3 linked regions of the Xenopus tropicalis genome follow. The protein of the gene in region 1 interacts with the protein of each later gene in a pairwise test. Links are inferred from orthologs where the notes say so. Each region holds a gene or a part of one and is shown in the gene's direction. Other genes may lie near its edges.

Region 1 (3,651 bases):
TAATAATAATAATAATAATGCTAATGTAGATGCTGTATCAAAACTAAAGCAGAAGGCAATGAAGTGGCTAATGAAACAGATCCCAGGTCAGAGGGTGGCAAATACAGTATAACCTGTGCAATTCTGTCCAATTAACTTCAACACCACAAACATAGCCTCTATTCTGATAGGCTGCATTGCCTATTACCCCATGGTGCCCCATGGGAGAGCACATAACTTTCTACCCTGCACAGAAGTACTGGGTTCATCTTGCCTCATAGCTAGAACAGAACTACTACAAAATGAGCATTATATTATCCTGTAACACCACAAACACAAATGGCATATTATATGTAGAGAAATACGTATCCATAAATGTTAGGGTGTTAGACGTCACCTTATAGTTACATGACACATAATGGTGTAAGCCGGAAAGCCAAGTACTTTTTATACAGGTTATGAAATCTTGAAATGATTTCTAATACTTTATATGTTACAGCAGGGGGTGTGTTATTTATTATATTTCACAGGTTTTATTCCACAACTGACATCAGTAAGCACTCAGAAATGATGACATTAATAAGCACTATTTAAAAGGATATATATTAAAAGTTCTTCAAAACTTTTGTGTATTATAATGATATAATGCAGATATAGTGACGCCATCAGTTATAATCAGTGCTTGTCACACACCTCATGGACACTTGTGTATTATAATAAATAAAAAAACCTCCATTCTTTTCCCAGATAGAGAGAGAGAGTAAAAAAAGTGTCATCTTAAAGCTAATGCCTTTTGGAGAGATTAGTCCCCATGATAAATCTCTGCTACTAAAGGGGACTAACCTCTCCGGACATGCCTTTCCATCTGGAACACAGGGAATTGCAGTCGGTGGAAAGGCCTGCGCATCTCTCCATGGGGCATTAGCCTAAAGGTGGCCACACACGTTCCAATCGGCCACTAACGTTCAGGGCTGAAACGGCAGATATGGAGGTAGAAACAATAGGATTTCTAACTCCTTCTGCCGATTCAGCTCTGAAGGCAGATTTTGCTCAGGTGCCTTCTATGGCACCCGACAAAATCTTTTAACCCGTCCGATCGTTGAGTCAACCAATATCAGCAGCCTCCTGCGATATCGGTCGCCTCGCCGACTTGCCATACACGCACCAAAGGTTTTGTACGATATTATCGGTGCGTATATGGCCAGCTTTAGGCTAGAGGTAATGTAATGTATAACATATTGTAGTGTCACCAATATCTCTTGCCCTGTGCCTGGGCTGAGAAAACAGTGTACCCAGTAACTTCTACGATGGAGCAGACACATCGGAAGCTGATATGGTTCTTGCTTCCAGTGTCATTGGTCATGGTAGCCAATCAGCGACAGAAGCCTGTGCACCAGGTGCCACAGCCAGATATGGCAGCCAGCAAACCAGCTGAACTACTCTTCATTGTCACATATACTGAGATATAACAGATGGGCAGTTATAACTGCTGCTGCTTAGCTATAGATTCTCCTGGGATACTTCTAGATGGCACACCAATATTGTGAGGTGGCCATTACTGAGATGTCTGGTATAACTGTTTACATGTGATGAACTCTCTAATCATGGCCTATGAAAAAAAGTATCCCTTTGATTCTACGATATTCTGCTCTGGAAAGAAAGTTGAGTTCATTTATGACTGCAACTTGCTCCATATCAAAAGTCAGTCATGGGGTGTAAAGCCTAGCCTTGGTGGGCACAGTCCAGCATGGGGCAGGCAGTAAGTATAGAGTTCTTTTGCATCCTACGTCCCCTGCCATTTATAAATTTGCATGTCTGAATGGAACCCAAAATTCTCTGTGTCCTTGGACAGAGATTTGTGGCAATTTGATAAGGGGAAAGGCAGAGTGCAAAGTCCAAAGAAAAAGGCAGATTGCTAATTTTTTTGCACTTTGAAGCCTGCTTTTTCCTCTTAAAAGTTTCTGGCTACATAGGGAGTTTGGAATTCATTCCCAGAATTCCTTTTATTGGCTACATATGGAAAACCGCAAGCACTGTGCTCGATATTCCAGTTTAATTATTTTATCCACAGGGTCTAAATGAAAAAAAAATTGTATAATTTATAATTTATGTTCTCTCTTCAGTCTCTCCCATTCAGTGTGCCATTCATGCTTCAAGAGGCAGGAGAAACTACTGCGCTGCGGACAGTGTAAATTTGCTCACTATTGTGACCGGACATGTCAAAAGGAATCCTGGGCCAACCACAAAAACGAGTGTGTGGCCATTAAGAAAGCCGGTAAAGCACCGAATGAAAATATCAGGTATATAAACCCTGAATTACCCATAAACCCATGAATTATTTGATCACAATGCTCTCCCCTAAGCACTTTTATAATATATATGCTTAACATGGACTTTTGCTGGCTGCTAAAATAATGAAAGGCTTCTCTCCAGCCCTGGGCAACTAAGTAAACACAATCCAACACTTATATAAAATGACATTATATTATATGTTCAGCATGAAAATCATAAGTACAACAAGTTCAGTTCAAATGTATTCTGTCTACCCACCCTCCCGCTGCCATCACAGAGATAATGAGCTCAGTATAAACAATGTCCTCCATTCCAAGAGCTGCAGGCTAAGTCTCAGCTTTACAGATAAGTTCATCATACCGGGCATTCTGCAAATCTATAAACTGCTTTCCCCTTATTCTACACCAGGAAGTTGCAAAATAAAAGATAAATCAATTTTACTGTCCTATTTAATTAAAATTAAATTCTCATTATATTAAGTAAACAATAGCTACATTTAAGACATTGAATACATGTAGGCAAAACTGCACCTAAAATATTTAGCGCAGCATTTGTGTTTTGTCTTTGTGTGTTTATTCTCTTGTTTCTCTGTATAACAACAGACTGGCTGCAAGAATTCTCTGGAGGATAGAGAGAGAAGGAAGTGGCCTCACTGAGGGATGCTTGGTCTCCATTGATGATCTACAGAACCATATAGACAAATTTGATGAAGCAGAGAAGGGCTTACTCATGGAAGATGTTCAGAAATTTTTGGAATATTGGCCAAGTCAGAGCCAACAGTTTGGCATGCAGTACATCTCTCATATATTTAGTGTGGTAGGTCACAGCAAGCACTTTGAAACTTTAACCCCCATATGTAATAAAAGGCACTAGGTTTTCCCAGTACAAGTATAGGACCCATTATCCAGAATGCTCGGGTCCAAGGGTATTCCGGATAAGGGGTCTTTCCGTAATTTGGATCTCCATACCTTAAGTCTACTAAAAAATCAATAAAACATTAAACCCAATAGGATTGTTTTGCATCCAATAAGGATTAATGATATCTTAGTTGGAATCAAATACAAGGTACTGTTTTATTTCTACATAGAAAAAGGAAATCAGTTTTAAAATTCTGAATTATTTGATTAAAATGGAGTCTATGGGAGACGGGCATTCCGTAATTCGGAGCTTTCTGGATAACGGGTTTCCGGATAAGGGGTCCCATACCTGTACCAGTAATCCATAACAACCAAAAACATGTTGGCTTTTATACAGGAGACAAGTAAATTCTACCTGCAGATTGGTTGCTATAGGTGGTAAAACACCTGCCAAAGCAAAGGCAATGTAGTTGCTGTTAACTTGCAACACCCCCAGTCCTCCCCCAAACCACCCCAATCTGCC
Region 2 (4,332 bases), on another chromosome or scaffold:
AAATCGATCGGCCAGGTTTAAAAATTTTAGTAGTTTAACGATAAAATCTGCCAGTTGGTGTGAGTGTCAGACATTTGTCTTCGAACGATTGTTCTCTGCGCATGTCAAGATTGTCAGCAGCGGAAGTCAACAAACATAAATAAATAAATACCGCTTCCGCCACGACATTGGATCGTACGTAGATGTACGATCGTACGTATTTTACGATAATGATACGATTAAATCTTTTGCAAATTATCATTGCCCGTGGATGGCATATCGTATGGAAACCCGATCGCCATACAATCGTTTGTCGATATAATCGTTCGTCGCACAATGAGTGAAATCGCCTCGTGTATGGGAAGCTTAAGACTTTGGGCCGGGGAATGAAGGATTTTTCTGAGAGAGGAAGTCAGATACCCAAAGAACATGTTTACAAAAAAGGAGACAAGAAATCCTGTGTTTCTTTTGATAGAGGATAGTGCATTATCTGTTGCAATTATATTTCCACTTATCGGTTAATAGGCAGATTGTCCAATTTCTGTAGTATCTATACTTACACATCTGTAGTTATGCCCATTATCGATTTTATTGAGGGATTATACTTGCTCGTCTTGAGCAGATTGTCAGTTCCTTTCCCACGGTAATTATACTGGCACATATTGGGTTAATATGCTTATCTATTTTAATTAGTGACTATACTGGTTCATCTGGGGTAAATATGCTTGTTATCAATTTGTTTTAGTAAGTATACTAGCATGTCTGAAGTATGTTTTGGTAAAGTGGTATTTAGGGTGTGTTCACAAAGTGCAGGTAGCCAAAATCAGGGTTGCTCATAATTTTTACTCTCTTCTTAAGCTGTCCCTCTAGTTATACAATCCTGTAAGTTGTGAGTGATTTTATGGGCTACATATATAAATTGATTTCCTGCAAACTTGCCACAGGTTGTTTTTGCTCGATGACTTTGCCCCACCTGAAAAATTTCCTGCAGCTTCCTACGGATTGTCAACGTTTTAGAAAACACAGCATGCTAATAACTAGTAGAAAAATACAAAATACAATAAATGCCAGATAGTTAAACACTCTAACATCAATTAGTCCCTTTTACCGTGCTCTATTGATGCTAACATGATTTTGCAAAGCAAAATTAACTTCCTGCTCGTAATAATCACCAACTATATTAGAAATCACGATTCGTTCTTCCAACCTACTTTTTCTACAACACAGCGCAGCCTCCAAACTGTATCCAAGCAACTAGTCGCCAGACAGTCACCGCCCTTCTTCACGTCACACAACGCCACCCCCCTCTGAGCGCGTTGCATTGTGGGACACAAACAAACTGATGAGCTCTACTCCCCTCGTCCCCCACCATTGAGAAGTGGAATATTCCAAGCGCTTGGGCCTGTGCGCTAGGTTTCGTGGGCACACGCAGTCGAAAACGCTGGGGACGGCGTGCACCAAATGCCCAAACAACAGGGGGAAGGAAATCGATGAGCAAGAAAGGAGGTCGCAACAAGGAGGTGCAAGGTAATACAAGTAGTGTTAGATGCGGTTGTTGGTGGCTATTTTCAGAGGCCTACTGTATTTCCCGCTCCCGTGTCTCGGACTGCGAGAGACGCAGTCAGTCGCGCTTTACCTAAAGCGGCGAACCCTATGAAGGCCGTAAAAGTCCGAGACGTAAGGTGAGATGCTAGTAGCCTTTGGGTAATAATAACTGGGCCAGCTTTCCCGCCTGGTCTCTTGAGGTTCCTTTTTGTACAGGTGGGAGGGGTTGAAATGTCTGCCCCCACCCACTTTGTGTCCCGCCGTCTAGGTAGGAATTATCTTCGTGGTGGGGGAAGTGATAGGTTGACGTGGGTGATTGTGATTATTGCTACTGTTGGATATGGCATTGCTACTTTTTAAAGGCCGCTTGTATTAATATGTGTCTAATTCTAAATCTTGTGTTATATTTGGTCTTTTACAACCAGGGCAACAATCATGCCAATTGTGCATGGGAATATTAATATTGTAGGTGTGACATTTTTGTGACAAAAAGTAATTACGTTTCTTTGGGGGGGGGGGGGGGCATATATTGGTTTTACTGTATGTGATAGTAGTAAAGTAAACTTGCAAATCTTATTAATTTTGTTCTATGCAGGGCAATATTTTGTGGGCCCTAGCCACACAATGATTTCTTTATTTTATTAATCCATTATACTTAACATATGCAAACTTTATTATCACACACAAAGTACACTGCTTGGATCTCCCCCACCTGCCAGCTCCAGTGAATTTTACCAGGATAGACTGTTAGCTTTACTATGCTGGGATTGGGGTTTCAATTCAATTATATGCCAAAATACCAGTTACATTGGTATTCAGTCTGTCACAGGATTGGGCTACCTTCAAAACCAGTGTGGCTGGCATTCCTGCAAGGGATGGAACTACACCTTAGTTCCATTATTAAAGACTTTAAAGCAGGGTTCCCCTACCTTTTTAACCTGTGAGCAACATTTAAATATAAGAAAAAGTTGGGGAGCAACACAAGCATGAAAAAAGTTCTTGGGGGTGACCAAAAAAATCTGTTATTTTGTAGCACCTACGTGGATTGGCAAACTAAAGGATGTTCTGTTTGGTAGTACCTATGGTCTTTATGCCTCCAAGTCAGAAATTCAACAAGACCTGCTTTGAGGCCACTGAGAGCAACATCAAAGGGGGTGGTGAGCAACATGCTGCTCGTGAGCCACTGGTTTGGGATCACTGCTCTTTCATTCAGAGAAAGACACATACAAGTGTGTGCAAATTGTTATGCACAAAATAAATGTAAGCCACTATATATTATGTGTATAAACTTTGTTAAAATTGAAATGTTTTTAGGAATATACAGCTTAATAATGTTAGGGGAAATAAGGAATGTAGAACCTGAAAAAGGGCCATTGATACCCAATAAAGGTGGAATTTACATAAGGGTACTTAAGATTTCAGTTAAGTTTTATTAGTACCTGATTACCTGTTATCTAAACATAAACATTATTGCACTGCAGCTAAAGGTCCCCATACACAGGCCGATTATCGGCCCGTGTAGGGGCAGAAACTAGGGGCCTGCCTGACCACGTTATGATCCGCTTGCTTGGCGATGTCTTGGCTTGGCGGTTCTTCTCCCGATATCCCCACCTACGGGTGGGCGATACTGGGAAAATGTAGGCTAATTCGATCGCGTGGCCCTGGGGCCAAACGATCGAATTCTAACGGCGGCAATAGCACAGTCAGTTCAGGGATCGCTTCAACAAGCCGATGCGGTCCCCGATCCGACTGAATCTTTTAACCTGCCTGATCGATATCTGGCCAATTTCAGATATGGCCGTCGTTTTTGCCCCTACATGGGCCGATAAGCTGCCGTATCGGTCCAAGGGACCGATATCGGCAGCTACGATCGGCCTGTGTATGACCACCTTAAGCTGAGGCATGTTAAACAGTCTGAATTTATATATTTAGAGGAGGCATTCACAAACCTAAAATTGGAGTTAAACTAAAATTAAATAAAACATGCAGTAGAACCCCCATTTTACATTTTTCAAGGGACCATGGAAAAAAGATGTAAAATCAGGGTAATGTGTTAAAGACACAAAGGGGCACACTTACTAATCCACGAACGTCCGAATGCGTTTTTTTTGTAATGATCGGTATTTTGCGACTTTTTCGAGCGCTCAATACGAAAGTCGCACAATTCGCGAAAGTCGTACTGGCTATGAAAAAGTCGCGACAATTCACGAAATTTGTAATGGCTATGGAAAAGTGGCGACAATTCGCACAAGTCGTACCGGCTACGAAAAAGTCGCAAAATGTTCGTTTTCCAATCCGAATTTTTCCCATTCGGATTCGTGGATTAGTAAATCAGCCCTAAAATGTAGCTGTTTAAAGGAAATAAATACAGGAACTTTATTTCCCCCCCCCCTCCACCCCAAGAGCATTCAGCACTGACACCCCATTGCTCCATGACACTGACACAGAGACACCTGTTAACATTGACTTAAAAATTTACATCCATAACTCCTAAAACAAAAATCTGTACAAGAGAATCTGCACATTGTACCTTTAATGAAGGACTGGTGTTTCTGCTGCGCAGTCACAAATTCCCCTGTGCTTGTGCAACTCTCGCAATATTTTGTAAGCTCCCAGATAGGTGCGCATGCACAGTGTGTATTATGAGGCGAAAGTGGTGACGCTGACCTTCCCAAGATGGCACCTGCGTTTGCAAGACATGGGGAAAGCTGAAAGTGTCCTTTTCAGCTTAAAATTAAGCAATGTGCTAGGGAGAGGCATGTTTAAAACAGTGCTAAATGCTGGAAATACAATGTAAATCCCGGGAAG
Region 3 (4,416 bases), on another chromosome or scaffold:
ATACCTAACAGGCGGGGTCCTTCAGGAAAGGGTCTATACCATGAAGCCAACAGGCGGGGTTCTTCGGGAAGGGGCCTATACCATGAAGCTAACAGGCAGGGTTCTTCGGGAAGGGGCCTATATCATGAAGCTAACAGGCGGGGTCCTTCAGGAAAGGCTCTATACCATGAAGCTAACAGGCGGGGTCCTTCAGGAAAGGGTCTATACCATGAAGCTAACAGGTGGGTCCTTCAGGAAAGGGTCTATACCATGAAGCTAACAGGTGGGTCCTTCAGGAAAGGGTCTATACCATGAAGCTAACAGGCGGGGTCCTTCAGGAAAGGGCCTTTACCATGAAGCTAACAGATGGGGTCCTTCAGGAAAGGGTCTATACCATTATATTGTAATTGCACTTATATTGTAATGTCACCCACTGTGACCTACAGCACTTATATTTGCCTATTTGTGTCTGTTAGTTACCCCTCCCATATAGATTGTAAGCTCTACGGGGCAGGGACCTCCTTCCTCTTGTGTCCTCGACTCTTAACTTATTGCTGCTGTATTTATTGTTATACTTTGTATTTATCTATTATCTTATTAACCCCCTGTTTGTATTAATGTATTCTACTGCACAGCGCTTTATAAATAAAGATATACATACATACATACATGAAGCTAACAGGTGGGTCCTTCAGGAAAGGGTCTATAGCATGATGTTAACAAGTTGGTCCTTCAGGAAAGGGTCTATACCATGATGTTAACAAGTTGGTCCTTCAGGAAAGGGTCTATACCATGAAGCTAACAGGAGGGGTCCTTTAGGAAAGGGCCTGTACAATGGAGGTAACGGGTGGAGTCCTTCGGGAAAGAGCCTATACCATGAGGTTAACAGGTGGGTTCCTTTGGGAAAGGGCTTATACCATGAAGCTAACAGGTGGGGTCCTTCAGGAAAAAGCCTATACCATGAAGCTAACAGGTGGGGTCCTTCATGAAAAAGCCTATACCATGAGGTTAACAGGTGGGGTCCTTTGGGAAAGAGCCTATACCATGAAGCTAACAGGTGGGGTCCTTCATGAAAAAGCCTATACCATGAGGTTAACAGGTAGGGTCCTTCGGGAAAGGGTCTATACTATGATGTTAACAAGTGGGTCCTTCAGGAAAGGGTCTATACCATGAAGCTAACAGGAGGGGTCCTTTAGGAAAGGGCCTGTACCATGAAGGTAACGGGTGGAGTCCTTCGGGAAAGAGCCTATACCATGAGGTTAACAGGTGGGGTCCTTTGGGAAAGGGCCTATACCATGAAGCTAACAGGACGGGTCCTTCAGGAAAAAGCCTATACCATGAGGTTAACATGTGGAGTCCTTTGGGAAAGGGCCTATACCATGAAGCTTACAGGAGGGGTCCTTCAGGAAAAAGCCTATACCATGAGGTTAACAGGTGGGGTCCTTCGGGAAAGAGCCTATACCATGAAGCTAACAGGCGGGGTCCTTTAGGAAATTTTCTATACCATGAAGGTAACGGGTGGGGTCCTTCGGGAAAGGGCCTATACCATGAGGCTTACAGGAGGGGCCTTTCATGAAAGGTTTTGACCCACCAAACTAGGAACTTCCCGGTAGAGTTGCCACCTTTGCCAGGTTATAAATGCAGACAAAGGAGCGTGCATGATGACCTTGGTGCTGTATGTCTCCAATGTCACCACGCAAACCGCTAACATCATCACACAATGTTATCACACGATGACGTTTCTGCCTGCGTGATGACGTTGGGGGTGGGGTAATTGAGTCTGCTAGGTGCAATTGGGAGGATTTCTGCCCACTTTTTAGAAAGTTGAAAACTAGGCAGAATGTTTTGACCTGGACAGTCCCATGAAAAACCAGGCCGTCTGGGTCAAAACCGGACCGGTGGCAAGCCTTCTTCCAGGAGACACCTCCTCCCACATCCCCTTCCCCCCATCCCCAGGCCTTTATCCCAGCCACCTTCTCAAACCTGCCATTAGCCAAATATTACAGCCATCAAGTAGGGTCATTCTTTTTTTTTACTATTTGCTAATCTCAGACTATAATGTTCTGCGATGTTCTCCCACCCTCCGCTCAGGTTCCAGGTCAGTGAAGCCACCGCGGAACCTCACACCTAGGCCGACACCCCTGGGGATTATACACTTATAAATGTCATAAAGTGTCTTGATCCTGTGCTACCGGCCCCTCGGAATCCCCGCATTCCTCCCCAGGACACATATCTCATTTTCTCTCCTGCATTGCCCCCCCCCCCCCCCCCCGCTCCATTCCAGCTGAAAGAAAATTGCTTTAAAATGATCCTTAAATTAGGAGCAGACATTGCTGGGGTTTAGTGTTCCTTGGCAGAGGGACAGCGGCGCGGCCTTCCCATTCACCATAATTGGGGGGGCTGCCTCGGAGCACAATGAGGTGGCAGAGACATCTGCTTGCAATCAGGCCCGGCGCTAGTAAATGCTGTTATTGTATGTAATCTCTTTATGGGGGCGCATAATGCGGCGGCTGATGATGATATTTAGGGAAAGCTCCTCTCAAAGCTGACAAATCCGCTGGTATCCTATGTGGCGGGATGATGGGCAAATATGGCGGGATGATAATGTTACCCGCGGTTACACCGTGGGGGTATAACTCGTCTCTGAGAGTGGGCTAAAGGGTCATAATCTTAAAGGGGTGGGTCCCCATTAAGGTAACTGTTTAGAACTGCCTATTTCAAGCAACTTTTCAATTGGTCTTCATTAATTATTTGTTATAGTTTTTGAATTATTAGCCTTTTTCTTCCAACTATCTGCAGTTTTTAATAGGGGTCGCTGACCCCGGCAACCAAAAAACTATTGCTCCAGTGTGTGAGGCTCCAGTTGTATTGTTATTGTTACTTCTTCATATATTCATATACCAGTTTCTCATTCAAACTGCCCCCCTGGTCGCTAAGGTCATTTGGACCCTAGCAACCAGAGAACTGCTGAAACTCCAAACTGCGGAGCTGCTGAACAAGTAGTGAAATAATAAAAAATGAAGACCAATTGCAAATTGTTTCATTGTGCAATAACTCAAAGGAGAACAAGTATAAAGGATGCCAAGGTGCCCCCATTGGCTACACAATGTCCTCCGGTGGGTGGCAATTGGTCACTGCCCACCTCCATGATTAGAACCAAGGCCTTGGGTGGGGAGGGGGGCCCCAAACCATGAATGTTCTTCCAGAAATGTCTGACCGCCTCTGCCTTAGGGGAAACGCAAGCAGAAAACAGCACAGAGGGGGCTAAACTGGATAATGCTGCTATTAAAGGAAATTACAGCCGTCATATTTAGGGAGCATTCTGTGTTTTTTTCACTTGAAATGGAATATTCCGTGGCAGGGTTGGCGGCCGGCTTGTCCCCTGGTAAGGAAAGTACTGGGAGAGACCAAGTTTTCATCAAAGGCCTCATATAAATTGGCTGAACCTTCTGGCGCACCCTGTTGGCTGAACATCGCCATAGACAAATCCGGCCACTAGAGGGCGCCCAATGCTTAGTCTGTTGTACAATTTCTGCCTCATCGCCAATATGGGACAAACACTTGCATTTCATTGGTTCATTTCTCCCAGACAAAACCTACTGTTCATAAAAGGGCAGGTACATGTTTAATTATAAAGGAATGGGAGGGGCTGTGTAAGGTGATAGGTCAGGTGGGGCATAACTGGGACGTGGCTAGTGTAGACATTTTTGCCCATGCCCACTTTTTGTGGCCAAAGAGAGCCCCCCTGAAGCCCGCCCGAGTTACCTGCCCCTCTGCCTGCGCCACCTGCCCCTCCGCCTCCATCCAGGGGGGGGGGGTTCCGATGCCTATGGATGTTACTGAGAAACAAATGTAAATCATAACCGTGTAATGTCCAGTGCTGCCCAGTTGGTCTGGGACTCTGGGGCCCACCAGATATCAGGGGCCCCCTCTTACTGCAACTAGATGTATATCCAACTCAACCCACCATAAGGCTACCTCTTAAAGGGGCAGTTCACCTAACTTTTAGTATGTTATAGAATGGCCAATTCTAAGCAACTTTTCAATTGGTCTTCATTATTTATGTGTTATAATTTTTTAATTATTTGCCTTCTTCTTCCAACTCTTTTTATATAGGGGTCACTGACCCCGGCAGCGAAAAACCTATTGCTCTGTGAGGCTCCAGTTTTATTGTTATTGTTACTTTTTGTAACTTTCTTTTCTAATCAGCCCCTCTCCTATTCATATATCAGCCTCTCTTCCAAACCACTCCCTGGTTGCTAAGGTAAGTTGAACCCTAGCAACCAAATAGCTGCTAAATCTCCAAACCGCAGAGCTGCTGAACTGAAAAGGAAATAACTACAAAGCTACAAATAATAAAAAATGAAGACCAATTGCAAATTGTCTCAGTAACTCAGTAGTCTCAGCTAACTAAAAGGTCATCATTAACCCTCCGTT

What was found. The genes of interacting proteins can lie anywhere in the genome.
Region 2: the proteins of smyd1 (region 1) and zbtb44 interact in binary tests that used the Homo sapiens proteins (3 or more experiments, as listed by UniProt). The link is inferred for Xenopus tropicalis from reciprocal best matches to the Homo sapiens genes SMYD1 and ZBTB44.
Region 3: the proteins of smyd1 (region 1) and fam204a interact in binary tests that used the Homo sapiens proteins (3 or more experiments, as listed by UniProt). The link is inferred for Xenopus tropicalis from reciprocal best matches to the Homo sapiens genes SMYD1 and FAM204A.

The regions. Positions count from the first base shown.
Region 1 is NC_030677.2:18,437,390-18,441,040, reverse strand, and holds part of smyd1 (histone-lysine N-methyltransferase SMYD1), read left to right. Parts: intron 1-2,102; coding exon 2,103-2,279; intron 2,280-2,873; coding exon 2,874-3,087; intron 3,088-3,651. UniProt on the Homo sapiens protein: Methylates histone H3 at 'Lys-4' (H3K4me), seems able to perform both mono-, di-, and trimethylation. Acts as a transcriptional repressor. Essential for cardiomyocyte differentiation and cardiac morphogenesis.
Region 2 is NC_030683.2:70,131,222-70,135,553, forward strand, and holds the start of zbtb44 (zinc finger and BTB domain-containing protein 44), read left to right. Parts: upstream 1-1,400; 5' UTR 1,401-1,469; coding exon of another isoform or gene 1,470-1,506; intron 1,507-1,548; exon of another isoform or gene 1,549-1,661; intron 1,662-4,332. UniProt on the Homo sapiens protein: May be involved in transcriptional regulation.
Region 3 is NC_030683.2:6,070,842-6,075,257, reverse strand, and holds the start of fam204a (protein FAM204A), read left to right. Parts: upstream 1-1,484; coding exon 1,485-1,490; intron 1,491-4,416.